Macaca mulatta: one gene and its partner. The protein of the gene in region 1 binds, or shares a complex with, the protein of each later gene. Links are inferred from orthologs where the notes say so. Each region holds a gene or a part of one and is shown on either strand. Other genes may lie near its edges. The genes, in order: CEP290 and TMEM237.

What was found.
Region 2: CEP290 (region 1) and TMEM237 share a complex: the UniProt entries of both Homo sapiens proteins name them as parts of the tectonic-like complex. The link is inferred for Macaca mulatta from reciprocal best matches to the Homo sapiens genes CEP290 and TMEM237.

The regions. Positions count from the first base shown.
Region 1 is NC_133416.1:95,327,355-95,337,953, reverse strand, and holds part of CEP290 (centrosomal protein of 290 kDa), read left to right. Parts: intron 1-166; coding exon 167-278; intron 279-1,539; coding exon 1,540-1,995; intron 1,996-3,080; coding exon 3,081-3,245; intron 3,246-4,249; coding exon 4,250-4,357; intron 4,358-4,573; coding exon 4,574-4,708; intron 4,709-5,903; coding exon 5,904-6,170; intron 6,171-6,797; coding exon 6,798-6,905; intron 6,906-7,524; coding exon 7,525-7,724; intron 7,725-10,400; coding exon 10,401-10,599. UniProt on the Homo sapiens protein: Involved in early and late steps in cilia formation. Its association with CCP110 is required for inhibition of primary cilia formation by CCP110.
Region 2 is NC_133417.1:106,771,650-106,782,248, reverse strand, and holds part of TMEM237 (transmembrane protein 237), read left to right. Parts: intron 1-622; coding exon 623-743; intron 744-1,840; coding exon 1,841-1,998; intron 1,999-4,232; coding exon 4,233-4,356; intron 4,357-4,975; coding exon 4,976-5,167; intron 5,168-6,240; coding exon 6,241-6,314; intron 6,315-6,970; coding exon 6,971-7,064; intron 7,065-8,241; coding exon 8,242-8,363; intron 8,364-9,769; coding exon 9,770-9,837; 3' UTR 9,838-10,599. UniProt on the Homo sapiens protein: Component of the transition zone in primary cilia. Required for ciliogenesis.

The DNA of each region.
Region 1 (10,599 bases):
AAATCCTGTTTTAGTATTTCATAAAAAGAAGAGATAGATGCTGAAAATGAATGGCTTTTTGGAAATCAAAAATTTTCTAGACCTTTTTGGGTCTAGAAATTTTGAATTTTGGCATTTATTTAGAAAGTGTACTTAATTGTTCCTGAAGTACCTTATCATTTCCTAGACTGAGAGAGATTGCTGATATTGCCAGAAGGCAAGTTGAAATTTTGAATGCACAACAACAATCTAGGGAAAAGGAAGTAGAGTCCCTCAGAATGCAACTGCTGGACTATCAGGTATGTGCAATATTGGCTCTTCTATATAGAATCCACTTTTTTCCTAAATTTACATTAGATGTTGGGAGCGATATGTTACACTTTTTGTTTACTTTGAGATAGGGTCTCATTCTGTCACCCAGGGTGGAATGCAGTGGCACATTCAAGGCTCACTGCAGCCTTCGCCACCCGGGCTCAGGTGATCCTCCCACCTCAGCCTCTTGGACAGCTGGGACTACAGGAACGTGCCACCACACCTGACTAATTTTTTATGCATATTTTGTAGAGACAGGGTTTCACTATGTTGCCTAGGGTGGTCTCGAACTCCTAGACTGAAAAGATCTACCCACCTTGGCTTCCCAAAATACTGGGATTACAGGTGTGGGCCATCATGCTGGGCCAGTGTTACATTTTTAATCAAAAGATATAGCAACCAGAGGCTGTTATTCTTGTTAGTTGTAACCTGATTAGAAAACTCTGTAATTTGAAGTATTGTTCAGTAATCCAGTACAGCATTTAAATGCCTATAGATGAATTACGCTGCTGATCAAAATTAGGACGCTGAGAAAAAGTACTAGGAAGTTATTAGTACATCTTTAATAACAATATTTTCTCTTGTATTTATATGTAACTTTTCACGTATTCTTACATTATGTATGTTGGGAATTATAAAAACGTACCCTTTGTCTGAATCAGTATTATGTTATTTGCAATGGAAGTTAAAAAAACAGTAGCAGCCAGGCACGGTGGCTCACAGCTGTAATCCGAGCACTCTGGGAGGCCCAGTCAGGCAGATCACGAGGTCAGGAGTTTGAGACCAGCCTGACCAATATGGTGAAACCCCGTCCGTACTAAAAATATAAAAATACAAAAATTCGCCAGGCATGGTGGCACATGCCTGTAATCTGAGCTTCCCAGGAGGCTGAGGCAGGAGAATTGCTTGAACCCGGGAGGCGGAAGTTGCAGTGAGCCGAAATCGCGCCATTGCACTCCAGTCTGGGTGACAGAGCGAGACTCCATCTCAAAAAAAAAAAAAAAAAAAAACCCAGTAACATACCCACTGTTATTTAGTTACATTTGGATTTTAAGTTTGTTTGATTCTAGGTTTTTTCTTTTACAATTCTTTGGTAATTATTTGTATTAAAGCAAAGTTACATTTTTGTAGATCTCATGTGCCACTGTGTTAACACTTTATTTAGTAAATTGTGATTTTTAAATCTGTGATAACCTTCATTGGAAAAATTTGAAACTTACTACAAATATATATTTTTTTAAATATTAGGCACAGTCTGATGAAAAGGCATTGATTGCCAAGTTGCACCAACATAATGTCTCTCTTCAACTTAGTGAGGCTACTGCTCTTGGTAAGTTGGAGTCAATTACGTCTAAACTGCAGAAGATGGAGGCCTACAATATGCGCTTAGAGCAGAAACTTGATGAAAAAGAACAGGCTCTCTATTATGCTCGTTTGGAGGGGAGAAACAGAGCAAAACATCTGCGCCAAACAATTCAGTCTCTACGACGACAGTTTAGTGGAGCTTTACCCTTGGCCCAACAGGAAAAGTTCTCTAAAACAATGATTCAGCTACAAAATGACAAACTTAAGATAATGCAAGAAATGAAAAATTCTCAACAAGAACATAGAAATATGGAGAACAAAACATTGGAGATGGAATTGAAATTAAAGGGCCTGGAAGAGTTAATAAGCACTTTAAAGGATACCAAAGGAGCCCAAAAGGTAAACATTTAAACTTGATTTTTTTTTTTAAGAGACAGGGTCTTGATCTGTTTCCCAGGCTGGAGTGTAGTGTTGCAAACATAGCTGGAACTCCTAGGCTCAACTGATTCTCCAGCCTCAACCTCCTGAGTAGTTGTAGCTGGGAGTACAGGGCACCACACCATACCTACCTATTTTTAAAAAAATTTAAAGTTTTTTTGTAGAGACAGGGTCTCACTTTGTCACCCAGGCTGGCCTCGAACTCCTGGCTTCAAGTAATCCTCCTGCTTTGGTCTCTCAAAGTGCTGAGATTACAGTCATGAGCCACTGTGCCCAGCCAATTTTAAATTCATTATCTTCAAAGAGTTACGTGATAATTTCTTAATATGTGCCTATATGAAAAATGCGTAAGATACAATTAAATTCCAATTATGATTCATTAATTTAGATTTTACAACTTAGCAGTGTTGGCTGTTTGAATGTCTATTATTTGTAAAAATAAAATTAGGCTTTTCTAACCAAAGATTTTAGTGGGAATGTTCAGATTGTATAATAGCAAAGAATTTTAAATACTGTAGACAAATTTCTATTAATTAAACACTAATTATTCTTAAACATTGTAGTAGTTATCAGTTGATTTCTACTGTTCATAATTATCTTTGATCTACAATTAGTGAGCCCACATTTATTTTTAATATGGTTTTATCTTCATTTAGAAATAATTAAATGAAAAGTAATTATCTTTCAACTACATCCTATTCGCTAGGCTAGAAACATTTAGGATTTCTGTTTTTGAAAGTGATATCAAAGTTTCAATGACCTGCTTATAGTCAGTGTTCAATAAACATATAACAGAAGAAAGTGAATATTAGTGATATCCATTCCAACATAATTTGAAGATTTTTATTGTAAAATCCCACATATTTGTAGAAATGTCTATGGAAATCCTAAATAAAATTTTGTCAGGTAGCTTGAGAAAAGATAACATTGTGTCTTGTTTTATTTTAGAATGCCCATTACTTTCAATTAAAATCATTATCATCAATGGAGGAATGTTATTTGTTGACATAGCATTTACATTTGTATATATAAATTGTAAATCTTAGGTAATCAACTGGCATATGAAAATAGAAGAACTTCGTCTTCAAGAACTTAAACTAAATCGAGAATTAGTCAAGGATAAAGAAGAAATAAAGTATTTGAATAATATAATTTCTGAATATGAACGTACAATCAGCAGTCTTGAAGAAGAAATTGTGCAGCAGAACAAGGTTTTATTTTATATTTATTTTGTTTTTTTCCTAAGATTTTAAGCAAGAATATTGCACTAGTGACTATGTTATTCTTCTAATTAAGTGTACTTTCCATTACTAATTGATTATGTAATAATTTGTTTTTTATTTTCTAAACTATTCTAAAAATTCATATTTATTTAATTTTTATAACAGTAGTCTTAATCTTAAAAAGAGCAATACATAAGCAACCTCATTTGGTAAGTTAATTTTTATTTTGGTATTGGTTATTTGACTTTTCACAGTTTCACGTTTCTACTGGCTCTCACTGATAGAGTAAGAAGGCAGCTTGTTATAGAATAAAGTATATGCTTCAGAGACAGATGAAATTCATCAAACATATGACTGTCTCAGAGATTGTTCCCTCTGCTTAAATTGTTCTTAGCCTAGATACCTTTGGTATTTACACTTTCAGTGCCCGCAAGTCTTGGCTTAAATGTCTTACCTTATCAGTGTGTCCTTCAACAGCCACCTAATATACAACAGTAAATCCTACTATCAAGATTCCCTTGAGATTAATTAACTTAATTTTTCTCCATAGCGCTTGTAACCTTCTGACATATTACCTACTTACTTTTTTATTGTTGTCTGTCTTTCCTTCACTAGAATGTAAGTTCCCTGGTGACAGGGATTTGGTTTTGTTTACTGCTATATTTGCACTGCCTAGAATGATGCTTGGCACATGATATATATCATTAAATATCTTTTGCATAGCTGGATGCATGGATGCATGGATGGATGGATGGATGGATGGATGGATGGATGGATGGAGAGATTGAAATCCTTACTTCACATCTGCCTTTCTCTGTGATCTTACACAAGTTACTTCACCTCTCTGAGTTTGTATTTTTTTCCACAAAAGGAAAATAATTACAGTATCTTCAATGTGTTGTGAGGATTACATAAGAAAATATATATAAAATGCCTGTTATGTGCCTGATGTCTTTGTATATATGTCTGACATAAATTGTCTTTCTTTTTAGTTTCATGAAGAAAGACAACTGGCCTGGGATCAAAGAGAAGTTGACCTGGAACGTCAACTAGACATTTTTGACCGTCAGCAAAATGAAATACTAAATGCAGCACAAAAGGTATGAATGATGAATCTTGTTTGCTACTCTGTAGCATAGACTAGAGGGTTAGCTCACAGAAATGATTCCTGTATCAGATGTAATTTTAATTGGTTGTTATATTGTCTATTTAAAATATGAGTGATTTAATCTATATTTTATCATACAGCTATAAATATTAATAGTTACTCTCAATGCTGCCACTGCTTTGTTAAAAAACATACTATTTGTTAATAGTTTGAAGAAGCTACAGGATCAATCCCTGACCCTAGTTTGCCCCTTCCAAATCAACTTGAGATGGCGCTAAGAAAAATTAAGGAGAATATTCGAATAATCCTAGAAACACGGGCAACTTGCAGATCACTAGAAGAGGTAATTAGAAGAATTTGCATTTTGATTATTACTTGGTATTATTTGGTATGTTTGGGGGGCTTTCTAAATAATATTTCTTTATGAGGACAATGCATAGAATGATGAATCTCTTGCTAATTTCACTGTTTTTCTATTCTCCTATAATGTTTCTAATAGCTGATAATGAACAGCAGATATAGTTAATTTGAATTCACTATTTAATTACTTCCTGTTACCTTTAGGTACACTGAATATGAAAGGAAACAAAAAGCATTTAATTGTAGCTCTATGAGCAGTATATTATCTTCCCTTATATGATCTCTTTATTCTTATTTTTTTGGTTTTCCTTTGAAGTGCATGTTATATAATCTATGAATCAGTTTTCAGTTCATTCCCTTTTATAAACTTCAGCCCTTTAAAGGGCTGAAGGTAAATTAGAAATTACTTTCTGTTTTAACCTAGTTCTTGAATTTGATTAGTAGGTGATCAAATCTGTCATCTGCATTAAATTATTCAGAAAATAATGTAAACTGAATATGATTTTCATTTTAGTTTTCATCTAAATATATTAACTACAAATACATTTAAAAATATACATAAAGGAGTTTTCAAGTAAAACTGTACATTTTTAAGTAAAACTTAGATCTTCTTCAGTAATTGTAAGATTTGTCATTTATGTGAATTGCCATTGAATTACTTAATTTAAAATACCCACCTTAATCCTCTTGAAGAGTAAAAATGTTTCTGATTTTTTCTCTTTTGTTTTAATAAGCTGCAGATTTTATAATAGTAATTTATTGACTTGGGCCACTAAAATTCCAGTTTTGTACTTAACTGACTTATAGATTAGTCTTCTAATGCTCTGCTAGTCAATGGACCAAAATAAAAGAAATAATTTATTACATATTCTTCCTAAATCTCATACCACCACACTTTTATAGTTCTTAACTGTAATATCTTGATAAAGTACCTTAATTAAATTTTATTTTCATCATAACAATGAAGTTTCTAACATATGTAATATTCTTATAAATAAGCATGCAAATAACTGTTGTCAATTAGAATTAGTTTAACCTTATTAAATATCAAATGGCTATTGTACATATGATGTGAAAAATAAAGTGAATTTTTTTTTTTTTTTGCTAATAACTAATCTAAAATTCAGATGAAGGAAAAAAAGATACTTTAATTATCTATTGTGATTTAATCATTGCAGAAACTGAAAGAGAAAGAATCTGCTTTAAGGTTAGCAGAACAAAATATACTGTCAAGAGACAAAGTAATCAATGAACTGAGGCTTCGATTGCCTGCCACTGCAGAAAGAGAAAAGCTCATAGCTGAGCTAGGGAGAAAAGAGATGGAACCAAAATCTCACCACACTTTGAAAATTGCTCATCAAACCATTGCAAACATGCAAGCAAGGTTAAATCAAAAAGAAGAAGTATTAAAGAAGTATCAACATCTTCTAGAAAAAGCCAGAGAGGTATTTTATTATGAGTTATACTGTTTCATGTATTAGTTTTTTTAAGCAAATGCTAAATATTTTACCTTAAAGTGGTAGTTATTTTCTTGCTTTCAAATGATTCTATTTAAGAACTGTGACTTGCATGTGATTGGATTACACCTCTATCAGTAAAACTGGCAGTTTGTGTAAATGTATCTCTCTTATACACTGACTAACTAAACCAGGAGTAGCTATCATGGTGAAATCACATGATTTTGAAAAATATTTTAATTTAGTTTATAGGTGAGGGTTGAGGCAATAGGGGGGAATGAAATATATCACACTGGTAATCAGTAGAAATCAGATTTGTTAGAACTTTGTGGGGGAAAGCTGACATTTAATTTTTTCTAGAAATAAGTTAAAAGATGATAGATACGTGTTATTCTAATGTTCAGAATAAATTATGAACTGAGGCTGGGCCTGTCAACTTGAACACTGTGCGAGGGAACATGCCTACCGGTCTAAATACATACATATATGGAGATACTGTTTCTTCCTCATCTCGAAGGAATTTTAGAAGATTAAAGAGAAAATATATAAGGTCTTCAAAATGTGAATTTATTTTAATCACAATTTAAGATATAGTTTTGATTTTCTTTAAAACAGGAGCAAAGAGAAATTGTGAAGAAACATGAGGAAGACCTTCATATTCTTCATCACAAATTAGAACTACAGGCTGATAGTTCACTAAATAAATTCAAACAAACAGCTTGGGTAAGATTCTAAGAACTTTGTTCCATTCTTTATTGATTTTTAGACCAAATACATTAAAATTCAGTTATCTTCTCCTTTTTTGGAATACAAGTTACGCTTTTTGTTGCCAAAGTAATCTTCTGAAAATGTAGCTCTGATCATTCTTCCTCCTGTAGCTCATCACTGTTCACAAAATTATATTTATACTCCTTACCCATATACTCAATCTTCTATGAACTTACCTGCCTTTCTTTTCAAATTCTATTCACTATAAGTTTACCTATATTTAACTTCCGGAATTCAGCTCATATTTGCCTCTTTTGACCATTCTGTTCCATATGTATGAAATGATGTGTCTTTCATCTTTTAATGTATAACCTTAGCATATTTGAGCCTTACTTCATTAATTCAGTCAACATTTATTGATCTCCTGCTACATGTAGACACTTTGTTAGCTATTGTAAATACAAAGAATAAGGTCTATATTTCCTGTCTTCTTTAAGCCTTCATTATCTGTTAAATCATTAAATTTTAGATTAGATATTGTATTTTGATCATTTGAAGAACCAATTTAAAAATATAGAATAAGTATGGCATTGAAATATACATGCCTGTTTGCTAATATATTCATATTTTATAGGATTTAATGAAACAGTCTCCCACTCCAGTTCCTACCAACAAGCATTTTATTCGTCTGGCTGAGATGGAGCAGACAGTAGCAGAACAAGATGACTCTCTCTCCTCACTCTTGATCAAACTAAAGAAAGTGTCACAAGATTTAGAGAGACAAAGAGAAATCACTGAATTAAAAGTAAAAGAATTTGAAAATATCAAATTACGGTAAGTCTTCAAAATGTATTGTAAAAATAGGCAAATGATAATAATGATATAATGAAGATAAACATAAATGTTTGCTATGCTAGGCACTGTTCTAAGACTTTTAAGTATATTGTCTCATTTTTATCCTCAGGTCTACTGATTACATATGTTATCATTTTCCCCATTTTATAGAGAGGATATGACCTCAGGAATGCTTAATAGCATGCCTGGGAGTAGATGGGAAAGCCATAATTTGAAACTAGTCAGTCTGACTCAAAAGCCAATACAAATTCTTTTCCAGAATCTCATTTTTACCTTATTCAAACCTCAGTTTCATCTTATTTATTTATTTATTTTTATTGTTTTATTTATTTATTTATTTTTTAGAAAAGTCTGGCTCTATTGCCTAGGCTGGAGTGTAGTGGCATAATCTCGGCTCACTGCAACCTTGACCTTCTGGGCTCAAGCTATCTTCCCACCTCAGCCTCCAGAGTAGCTGGCACTACAGGCAGGTGCCACCACACCTGGGTAGTTTTTTGTATTTTTGTGGAGACAGGGTTTCTCCATGTTGCCCAGGCTGGTCTCGAACTCGTGAGTTCAAGTGATCCGCCCACTTCGGCCTCCCAAAGTGCTGGGATTACAGGCCTGAGTCACTGCACTCAGCCTCATCATCTTTAAAATGGAAATAGCAGTACTTACCCTGGCCCTTTCAGGGTGGTTATATGAAGGTCAAATTATACCATGTATGAAAGTAATTTGAAAACTGTCAAATAACATACAGATAAAAAGCTTTTGTTTGCACACTTATAAGAGTGTCTGGCATATAATAGAGATTCTAACATTGTTCAACCAATTTATCAGAACATAGATTTTAAGCTCAAAATAGGTTTATAGTTTCGTAGTTTCTAAACATTGTAGTATTATCTGTATGGGCCTAAATTTTATTATCTGAGAAAACATGAGAAAGTTGAACTACTTGACTTATAATTCCATTTCAGCTCTCAAGCCCCTATTAGAGCCTTTGATTCTTTACACTCTTATTCAAATGCCTATGACAGAATTAACACTATTTTTGCTTTGCTAGGGAGCTGCCACTGTTAAGAAATTACTTTCTAAAAGAAGGAAAATTGGCAGCAGCATATGTGTATTTTCAGTCTCTTTTCCTTGCTCTATTAAATTTTGTACATGAGATGTTATTTTTGGTCTAGTAAATTTCTGTCATGTTTTGGAGTATAAAATGACTTGTGCTTTTGCATCCAATTTGTGGGTGTAGAAAATCATAATCTTTTGAAATACCTTATATAATTTTTTTTTCCACATGAAATACTTGAAGTTATTGTTGTGTACCTTATCATGTCATTGTAGCCCAAAATTGTACTTGTGTTCTCTGTGTGCCTATTTTGATATATATTAGGAAATTATGGATCCGTATGATTACTTAAGTAAAACCTGATATTTTCACAATTTGATGATGACTCTTTAAAGTTAGACTTAAGTTTTGCCAAAAGCAAGAAGCCTCAAAGAATAACATTTGTTCATGTGTTAATGCTATCTCCCTCTTACTGGTCAGAACCTCAGTACGGATGCAGTGTCCATATGCACAACAATATATTAATTCAGTTTAACAGACTTAATGCTGAATGAGCAATAAGATTAATTGAATTAACTAAATCTTTTAATACTATCCACTTCCATATATATATATAGTTACAGATACAATGCTAGTGAATTTGTACCATAAACAAATAAATAATACATGTGATTTCTGTGAAAATTTATATTAGTCTTTTCAATATGTCAATATAGGGCAGTATTTCTCAAATATAGAGGATCAGTTTTTCACAGTTGTACCTCTTGGGGACATTTGACGATGTCTGGAGACATTTTTGATTGTCATGGCTAGGGGGTGCTACTGATATGTAGTGGGTAGAATCAAAAGATGCTACTAATCATCCTATCATACACAAGGCAACCCCACCAACAACAAAGAATCATTCACTCAAAAATGTTACTAGTAGTGTGGTTAGGAAACTATCATATAGAGGAAGCAGTCAAATTTTACAAGAGCCATAGTATCTAAAATGCCCTTTTGTTCATTCTCTATATTATTTGATTAGAGTCACAAAATAATTTGATAAGATTGTTGCCAAAAATATTAGAAACTAGAAGAAAAACGTGTTGTTAAGTTAAAGAGTAGTTAAGTGAAATAAAGAATTACTCTTCTCTGGATTTGGCTGCCTGCATCAAGATTTAGATTGTAAGGATAGTTAGGACTGAACATTTGCCCTGTGTGAAATTTGTATTAATCAAGGTATTAATTGCAGCAACCACTCTATTAATTACATGTTTTTGGCCAGGTGCGGTGGCTCATGCCTCTAATCCCAGCAGTTTGGGTTTATCAGCCGAGGCGGGCTTATCACCTGAGCTCATGCGTTCAAACTGGCCTGGCCAACATAGTGAAACCCCATCTCTGCTAAAAATACAAAAATTTTGGGGGCCTGATGGTGCACACCTGTAGTCCCAGCTACTCAGGAGGCTGAGGCAAAAATATCACTTGAATCTGGGAGGTGTTGGTTGCAGTGAGCCGAGATTGCGCATGTGCACTCCAGCCTGGGCAACAGAGTGAGACTGGGTCTCAAAAAAATTTAAAAAAAAAAGAAACACACACACACACACACATATGTTTATTTACATCAGGCTCCAAGAAAACCATGAAGATGAAGTGAAAAAAGTAAAAGCAGAAGTAGAAGATTTAAGGTATCTTCTGGACCAGTCACAAAAGGAATCACAGTGTTTAAAATCTGAACTTCAGGCTCAAAAAGAAGCAAATTCAAGAGCTCCAACAACTACAATGAGAAATCTAGTAGAACGACTAAAAAGCCAATTAGCCTTGAAA
Region 2 (10,599 bases), on another chromosome or scaffold:
CATTTGTGCATACAAAGTGATTTTTGCTGAACATCTGCTTCCCTTCTGGGCATCCAGAATTTTGGTATGTGCTAAGCTTATGTGACTAGCCCCTAACCTTGGATACTGTCTCTGATGAACTTCCCTTGTAGAACATGTGTCACATGTGTTGTCACAACTCTTTACTGGAGAGATTAGTGCATCCTATTTGACTCCACTGATAGAGGACTCTTGGAAGCTTGTACTTGGTTTCCTCTGGACTTGGTCCATGTGCTTTTTCCTTTTGCTGATTTTGCTTTATATTCATTTGCTGTAGTATACCATAATTGTGAGTGTGATGATTTCCAAGTCCTGTGAGCACTTCTAGAAAGTCAGCGAACCTGGAGATAATCTTGGGAATCTTCAACACAGCCTGGGTGTTGGGTTACTTAATTTTTTTTCATATTGTTTGGCATTACAATTTCAATTTTTACATTAGAAGTTTAGAAGTATAACATTTTTTAGACATTAAAAATTTGTAAGATAGTGAAAATATTTTTGCCCAATTAAAATTCTTGAAGTTCTTTTCTCTTATACAAGTCTTGTATATTACTTTTCTTTTTCTGTTTTAGTTATTTGAAAAGTTAAATTTATTTGTTTTCAGAATTGGAGATTTCCTCCACTCAAAATAAGGCATCTAGTTCATCTTTATTACGAAATGAAAATGGTATTGATGCAGAGCCAGCTGAGGAGGCAGTTATTCAAAAACCTCGGAGGAAGACAAAGTAAGAATTTATTTTTCTAACTATTCTCCAGGATTACCCTGATGCTTTGTTTGGAGTTCCCAGACAGTAGCTTCTCATTAAGTCTTATTACATACTTGTATTTGTGTACCTCTAGGGTAAGTATTATTACAAAAAATCAGTTAAACCAATCTAATGATAAATTTGAGAAGAGTAAACCACTGAGAAAATTTAAAAAATTAAGATTGTACTTAAATAAAAAAACTTCAGAGCCATCTCTTAAAAAGAGGAACACAAATAGAATATATAAGTAGCAAAATTAAACATTAAGGATATTTAAAAATTAAAGATAATGAAATAGGCTATTATGATTTATTTTCTTATGTTAACAGAATTCAAACTATGATTATCTCAGCAATAAGTAAAACTGTGTTTTAGCATTAAGATAAAATGAGTAAAGTATACTTTAAAGAAATAACACTGGAAGGCATATATATAGCACTATTGTTTGTATTTGAAAATGAACCTACAAATAGTGATCAATGTCTGTGTTAGTCCGTTCTCACAACACTAATAAAGACATACCTGAGACTGGGTAATTTATAAAGGAAAGAGGTTTAATTGGCTCACAGTTCAGCATGACTGGGGGGGCCTCAGGAAACTTACAATCATGGTGGAAGGTGAAGCAAACATGCCCTTCTTCACAGGGCAGCAGGAAGGAGAAGAATTAGAGCTGAGTGAAGGGGGAAGCCCCTTACAAAATGATCAGATCTCCTGAGAACTCACTATCACCAGAACAGTCCCTTGACAGGTGGGGATTCTTACAATTTAACATGAAATTTTGGGTGGGGACATAGCTAAATCATATCAGTGTCTACAGAGAATCATACAATTTTAAATTTGGAAAGAAGCTTACAGATTAGTTCAGTCACTTCAATTTTCAAATGAGAAAACTGAAGCCCTCAGAAATGTAAGTGACTTGCTGCACATAATAGTTAATAACAGATTTATTTGAGTAAAAATCAAATTTCTTAACTCCAAGTCCAGGGCTCTTTCCATTATATTTATAGCTAGTTCCGTATGTAAGTCTGTGAGTATTCAATAATCATCCATTTTTCATATATACTTCTTTATTACAGGAAAACCCAACCAGCAGAATTACAGTATGCCAATGAGCTAGGAGTAGAAGATGAAGACATTATCACTGATGAGCAAACTACTCTGGAACAGCAGTCTGTATTCACTGCACCCACTGGCATTAGCCAGCCTGTAGGCAAAGTATTTGTGGAAAAAAGCCGTAAGTAGATGCCTTGTTTTAGAATATGAACTCTTAAAAATTGTACAAGGATATCCTTTATACTTCTGGAAATCTGAATTAAGGAATTAAGCAAAACTATGTACAACAATTTATACACAAAACTAGTCATCATGCTATGATTCATGAGAGTGAAAAACTGGAAACAACCTAAATGTGAAATAGGAGAGGAATGATTTCAGTAAGTTGTGGTGTATCTATATAATAATATTCTTCACCATTAAATATCATGTTTAGGGAGAATTTTTCATTTTATGGAAAGATTCTGATAAAAGAGCATGTACACATGTGTACACACACACAGAGTTTGATCTATACATAGGACAAAAGACTTGAAGGAAATAGGCTCAAATATTAATGCTGGTTGTTTCTGGATTTATGGGGTTATGGGTAATGTAAAGATCTTCCCCACCCCTGCCTGATTCTTTATTCTTTCTTGTACTTTACCAGCTTCCTGCAATTGGTAGTAGTTGTGGTGGGACAGATAATGATATAAATTCTACATCTGAAAATTAGAGAGAAAATACATGATGATACTATCATATTAAATAAGAAATACAACATTATAGCTGTATATTCTTTTGGAAAATAGTGCTGACATTGTATAATGTATACTGGCTACGAGACTAGGTTTGTAGTGTATTTTAGCTCAGGCTGCTATAACAAAATACCACGGACTGAGTGACTTAAACCACAGACATTTATTTCTCACCGTTCCTAAAGCTAGGACGTCCAAGACAAGGTTCCAGCAGATCCGGTTACTGGAGAAGGCCCCTTCCTGGCTTGCCAGTGGCTGCCACTGTGTTGTCATGTGGCAGAGAGAGTTCTGGTGTGTCTTCCTCTGCTTAAAAAGACACTAGTCTCATCATGGGAGCTTCGTCCTCATGACTTCATCAAAATCTAATTACCTCCCAGTGACCTCACACTCACTGGGGGGTTAGGGCTTCAACATATGAATTTTTGGGGGACACATTCAGTCTATAACACAGTGTTTAAGAAAAACCTACTCAAAGCGTGATCATGACTGTATACTACCATGGATATGTTAAGGATATGCTGCCTAAAGAACTCATCTAAAACATAAAGGTTAGTCCTTAAAATTTACAATTTAGATTTTGTCTACATTGTTTTAGAACTCTACTTCATAAGATCCCATCTAAAGGATCTTGCAGTTCTTGGCCAATAAGAAACCTGTGGTCTCTGGCTGACTTACCCAGTGTCTCACAGTTGGTTAGGGTGGAACTGGGACTTGAACTGTGGTTTTATGACTTCTAGTCATGTGGTTTTATTCATCTACCATGTGGCCATTTAATTTACTCCAGTTCTTTTTCAAGCAGTATCACTTAATCCTCATTTTTATTCTTATTTCACTTAGCATAGAAATTTCCCTGCTAGAGTAACTGGCCATAACTGGCCATAAAAGGCACCAGTGGTTCTACTGTCTGCCCAGAAGTTGTCTTTTCTTAGGGAAAATTGTCACACCCCTGTCTTTCATCCTCCAAAACACCTGCGAACTGGGTTTGGTGAGGATAATTGAAATGGAACCTTTCCTGCTTCCTGATGTCTATTTGTGGATTACTAGATATACAGGAAGGAGCCTCTGAATCAACAGTAAAAAGGCTAAAGCCCTGCTCATACAATATTGCAGTGCTGACTCTTGAACTGATGTTCTTCACAGGAATGTTCTAAAGAGAAATTTATGAAGCAGCCCATTTCTTTCCTGTCATCCCAGAAAGCCATGCTACACATCCTGACATCTTTTTCTAAGAAATTTAAAGTAGTTTTCAAATATTGACTTACCTTGGTAGTATAGGCATATAAACTTTAATACTTCTAAAGTCTCTAAATTAGAATTTTGTAGACTAGGTCATGTTAAAGGTTTCTAGACTTTATTCTGGTTGAAAGTTCATTATTTTTTATTAAATATAATTGATTTCTGAAATTGTTACTTCACTTTGGATTGAGAAGAAAATACACTGACATTGCTTATTTTTCTTCAAGATGAAAAATTATGTTTAAGGAACCCAAAGTAAAGATCTTTCTGAAATAGGTGCTGAGTCAAGGAGAATTTTCAGATAGAACAGCAATATTTCAGTCTTAGTTTGCAGCTTCCTGAGTGTGGAATTAAAAAAAAAAAAAAAAAAAAAAAGAAAAAAAGAAAGGGCTACCAGGGTTCTCTCTCCCTAGTTGTTAGTAATTACATTATGTGTTCTTAGGGAGATTCCAGGCTGCTGACCGTTCAGAGTTGATAAAGACCACAGAAAACATAGATGTGTCAATGGACATGAAGCCTTCCTGGACCACCAGAGATGTGGCACTTACGGTGCACCGGGCTTTCAGGTGGCTGCTTTTGTTGGACTTTTCTTAAAACAAATGTTAACTGAGTTCCGTAATTAAAGAAAAAAATAGCCTATTGGTTGTTCAATATGGTTAACGAAATGACCACTTAAAATGGTAGGTAGGTGTATTTTTTTTTTTTTTTTTTTTTTGAGACGGAGTCTCGCTCTGTAGCCCAGGCTGGAGTGCAGTGGCCGGATCTCAGCTCACTGCAAGCTCCACCTCCCGGGTTTACTCCATTCTCGTCTCAGCCTCCCGAGTAGCTGGGACTAGAGACGCCCGCCACCTCGCCCGGCTAGTTTTTTGTATTTTTTAGTAGAGACGGGGTTTCACCATGTTAACCAGGATGGTCTTGATCTCCTGACCTCGTGATCCGCCCGTCTCGGCCTCCCAAAGTGCTGGGATTACAGGCTTGAGCCACCGCGCCCGGCCGGTAGGTGTATTTTTTAAACATCCTATTGGAATTGAATGATCTACCTATCAGTGTAACTAAAAAGAAAGAGCTTGCTTTTACTTGTCATGAAATGTTGAATTTTATTCTTGTATATGAAGAGATTTTAAACATGTTTTAGCTTTTTACTTTAGTAATTCATGTATAATAATCAAACCCTTTACCATTCAGGATGATTGGTCTCTTTTCTCATGGATTCTTGGCTGGCTGTGCTGTGTGGAATATTGTTGTGATATATGTTCTAGCAGGAGATCAGCTATCCAACCTCTCAAACCTTCTGCAACAATACAAGACTCTAGCGTATCCATTCCAGAGTCTTCTGTACTTGCTTTTGGCTCTGAGTACAATTTCAGCTTTTGACAGGTAATGCCTGTGACTCCAGATCTGTCTAACTTCTTCAGAAGGAAATGCTGAGCAAAATGTGTCACTGACCATGACAGTTTTCAAAATAGAATTATAGAGTATCAATATTACTTCAAAAAGTTTTAAGGCCAGTCTACTTCTGTTCTTTTTTGAGGGGATGAGACTGTTGTAAACAAAATATTCCCAAAAGACTTCACCCATTCCAGCATCAGTTCATAAGTCCAAAATTTCATCCAAATGTAGTCAACTCAGAAGTTCCTAAATATCATCTAAATCAGGTATAGGTAAGACTCAGAGCATTTGTATTTGTCTCCCAGCACTGCTGTAACAAAGTACCACACACTGGCTGGCTGAAAACAGCACATTTATTCTCTCGCGGGTCTGGAGGTGAGCAGTCTGCAATCAGGATGTGGCCAGGGTTGAATTCTTTTTCGAGGGCTCTGAGGGAGAGTCTGTTTCATGCCCTTCCCCTCACTTCCAGTGGTTGCTGACAATCCTTGGCTGTAGATGCATCATTCCAATATTTGCCTCTATCGTCACACAGCGCTTTACCCCTGTGTATCTCTGTATCTATATCTCTTCTAATAAGGACACCAGTCATACTGGATTAGGGTTCATCCTAATGACCTTATCTTAACTTTATTACATCTGCAAAGACCCTGCTTCCAAATAAGGTCAATTCATAAGTACTCCAGGTTAGTTCAACATATCTTTTTGGGAACACAATTTAACCCGTTTAAAAAAAAAAAACCCACCTAATTAGAGCCTAATGATATGGGCAATAGAAAGAGGTAGAAACTAATGAAATTTTGTTTATCAAGTTTAAGTTTCTTTAGAATGTCTTAACCCCAAAGGAATGTTGTCCAAAGTAGTCTAGTTAGATGTTTTATGTGGCCTTTGTAAATAAGATAATTTTGTCATATGTGTTATATATACACTGTAGCTACTTAAAACCTAGTAATAGTATATGTGGTAGCATTAGAATAGAGAAGGAAAAAACTATTGTCAAGAAAGTAAAGTTTTGTTAAAAAGTTTACAACTGCACTGTGACAAGAAGCTTTTATATTTTCTAGGATTGACTTTGCTAAAATGTCAGTAGCAATCCGAAATTTTTTGGCCCTGGATCCTACAACTTTAGCATCTTTCTGTGAGTAAACAGTTTAACTTGGTAACTGTGTAATACTTGAGTTATACCATAATTTTGAACCAGGAAAAATGTTAATTTTTTTTTTAAAGTTGTATTACTGCTCCTTATAAACATTACCTATAGATGGTCAGTGAATTTGTAATTAGAAACATAATAGGCATAATGTTGATAGAATTATTTTTCAATAGAGGTTCATCTGAATAACTTTGAAAAGCTTAATTTATTGTACTATATTACTTACTTTTTAACTTTTGTATTTTCTACTTGACATTAAACAGATTCAGATGGTACAGCCTTTTAATAACAAACAGTATTTTATATCTTTCTGATTATTTGGAATGCATTTTGTTCTAAGTTTTGAGAATATTAATAAAACTAATTTTAGGACCTTGAGCAAGTCATTTAACTTTTCAAAAGATCTAGGTTCTTGTCAGTTCTAATGATGAAACAGTGAATGTCTCAAAAGATCCTTCTGCACCTGTTGTTCTCAAAAATTTATATAAGGATATCTGGCCTATTGAAATATGTTTATTTGGTAAAATAAATTTCTTTTATATCAGTCACCAAAGTACAGATTATTTTCGATATTAATCTATAAATTCAAAATAAACCAGGTTGTTAAAAATTATTAGTAATTTCATTTATCTTTTTTTCAGTGTACTTTACTGCTCTTATACTATCTCTGAGTCAGCAAATGACAAGTGACAGAATCCACCTTTACACACCTTCTTCTGTTAATGGTAGCCTCTGGTAAGAATTCACAATGACATTAGCAATTGTTAATGGCAATAACAGCAATTTTTCGTATCCTTCCATTCTTTTTCATCTACAAATAATGAAGGCTCTGTTTTTGTTTCCAAATCTATGGCAAGAAAATACTTATTCCTTTGGTTAATGGGTAACTATTGTTATATTCACCTGCATTTTTAAAGAAATATCTTCCTTTTAAAAATCTGTTTTAGATCTTCAAGTTATAGTTTTTTCTTGTTTGTTGCTGTTGTTGTTGTTGTTGTTTTTTAAGATGGAGTCTCGCTTTGTCACCCAGGCTGGAGTGCAATGGCTCTATCTCGGCTCACTGCAACCACCGCCTCCTGGGTTCAAGCGATTCTGCAGCCTTAGCCTCCCGAGTAGCTGGGATTACTTAGGCACCCGCCTGGCTAATTTTTGTATTTTTATAGAAATGGGGTTTCACCATGTTGGCCAGGCTGGTCTTAAACTTCTCATCTCAGGTGATCCACCTGCCTTGGCCTCCCAGAGTATTGGGATTATAGGTGTGAGCCACTGCGCCCAGCCAAGTTATAGTTTTACAATAAGTCATCATATGATGGACGGAAGGAGCCCTGCATTCTTACCCACTATCAGAGAGTTTCATACCCCAGAACAGTGATAGGAGTGAGTAGCTGGGATAGATTCAGAAAACCAAGCAATGCTAGAAAGAGCAGAATAGGGAGAGCCAACATCTGCAGATCGGTGGCCAGCCATGAAGTTGACAGGATAGCTGAGATTCTAGTTCATTAAACTCAGAGAAGCAATCTTTTTTTTTCCCCCAAATGCTGAATGTGGCATCCAAAAGTAGTCTTTTTTGAGAGAGTGGCTAGGGACATTAGGTAAAGAAAAAGCAAATATACTTTATTGATGAGTAATGTCATGGTAGTTGGAAGGAAAACTTTTAGAAAATTTTCTTGGGAATACTAACGTTGCATTTATATGAATGTATAGAGCAGATCTGTTTAGAGTTTAACCTTTGAACCCTTGTTCTCATTATATATGTGGTATATTTTACAGGGAAATTATATTTTCTTTCACGCTTTACTTGTTATTTCTCTAGGAGATGACTGCTGTTTTTTCTTGAAGTTCCTAAAATAGATATATTTGTATATATGAACCAAACTGAAGGTACTTCTAATGAGTATTTCTACCTTTTTAGGGAAGCAGGAATTGAGGAACAGATTCTCCAGCCATGGATTGTGGTGAATCTCGTGGTGGCTCTGCTGGTTGGATTATCTTGGCTATTTTTGTCTTATAGGCCAGGCATGGATCTTAGTGAAGGTATTAAAGAAAAAAATAGTATAAGAATATCCTGAAATCTTCTATAATGGTTTTATAAACCTCCTTTTAATATGTATAGCTTATAATATTCCAATCACAAAGACACATTTAAATTAAAATAATACAAGCAGAGAGAAAATAAAGTGGTGTAACAGAATGCCAAGAGAAGCAGGGAGGAGTGCCTAGGAGGGCTGGAGTCTGGAACTACTTAGTGAGGGGCGTCTGTGGCCCTTGTGCATATTCAGGAGGTATTTCTTCTCTTGGAACCCTTCAAGTAATTTAGAAAAAGTCTTTGCTCTTTACTTCTCTTAGTTTCCTGCTGATGAAAGTATCTCTTAATTTTGAAATAAATCATGCTTCGTCTACATAGCCTTTCTGTCAGACACATACTCAAGTTAATTATTCTTACCTCCTCTATTTGGTACAAATTCGTAACTCTTCATTGTCTAACACAGTGTTTAGTACTCTTACTTTTAACATGCTCAGTGTGCAGTGATTCACTCATCTCTAGTTCCCAGACCCCTTCTGGAACACCTGAAGAAGAATCATCATATTAGCGAACTGCTAAACTTTTATGCTACTTGAGGAACTTTTTAGTATTTGTATTGTAAATTGTGTTTCCTTGGGCAGTGTTCAACAGTTTGACCCTTGAACATCTTTTATGGATATTTTCTCGACCTTGGTTATTACTTTATTTTTGATTTGATCAACTATTTACAACCCATCTGCCTCAGAAGCCTTAGCATGGAGAATTTCGCCAACATCTATGCTAAGTAATAGTTTAAATGTAGAAAATGTCAGCTAATAACATTCTACATTGTGGTTGGCATCAAAACTGCATCTGGATTTTGCAGTATTCAGTCTAAATCATAAAGTGTGTGTTACTTAGTATTTCCAGAATCCTGTTCTTTTAAGGCCATGTTAGTCATACAACATGTAGATTTTAAAAGTAAGTATAAAATGAGTGATAATACCTGGCTTATTGGGTTGTTTTGATGATGAAATGGGATGACCCATTTAAACTATCCTGGCACATATCTCTTGTTAGTTCTAGGTCCTTCCTCTGTATCTGTCCCCTATATTTTAGATGATCTCATCACTGTAGAATTAGACCTTTTAGCTGTTTAATGATCTTTGATTATCTAAGTGACTTAAATTTCCAGGTAGGATTTTGTATATTGTCCCTATTATGTTTTACTTTTAAGGGGTTCATAATTTAAAATTTAAATATTTTAAAATGTAAAACTTGTACATTTGTTATCAGCTTACCTTTGAAATCAGATTTCACTGTCAAGAAATCTATTGAGGGCTTTCTATGTCAATTTTTAAAAGACTATAAATAAGCTATACAACTCTGTTGGAGGCACTGGGAAACAATTTTATGATCTGTTCATTTTCTTCTCCAGAGTTAATGTTCTCCTCAGAGGTGGAAGAATATCCTGATAAAGATAAAGAAATCAAAGCCTCTTCATAATACCAGCTAACCTTTGGAAGAATAGTGACTCAGTATTTGTCCCACTTTTGTTTTTAAATGTATTTTTATAAGATGTATACATGTGTATTTGTAATAGATTTTTTTTGATTATATAATACTGAAACATCTCTCAATACTATGAAAAATGTTAAAATTGTATTTGTTATTTATGTCCAAATATTAATTTGTATAGCATTATCATCTTAATGACAAAGGGAATAATGAACTAGAAACCAGCAAGTGAAAGTGTTTATTTCCTATTTTCTCAAAACAGTTGTATTTATAACTATTATCTTAAAAAAGCACTGGTTGAGAAAAAGCCATAACTTAAATAGTGTTATAAAATATATATCAAGTTTAAACATAAATTTAGTGAATATGGTAGAAGGGGAAAAAAGCCTTCATTTTTGACCTCCCCTTACTGAATAAATTGAAATATGAAATTTATCTTTTCTGAAACTGGCTTAGTGATTGAGTATCATGTAATAATTATAATTTAGCTTTAAAGATGCTTTACATCATGGCCAATAAAAAGGGAATGTATCTTCTGTTTGAAGAATTTTATAACGTAAAATTTTTACCTAGAAGTAACTAAAAAGTTGCTTCTTACTATAATTTGTACTACTGGTTCTCATATCTGGTTGTACATCAGGATCATAGAGGGAGCTTTTAAAAAATCTATGTAGTAAAAGAGGCTGAGCAGGGCAAGACTCGGGAATAAAGGAGAGACCTGTGAGCTTGTGGGCTCCCAGTTGACATCTG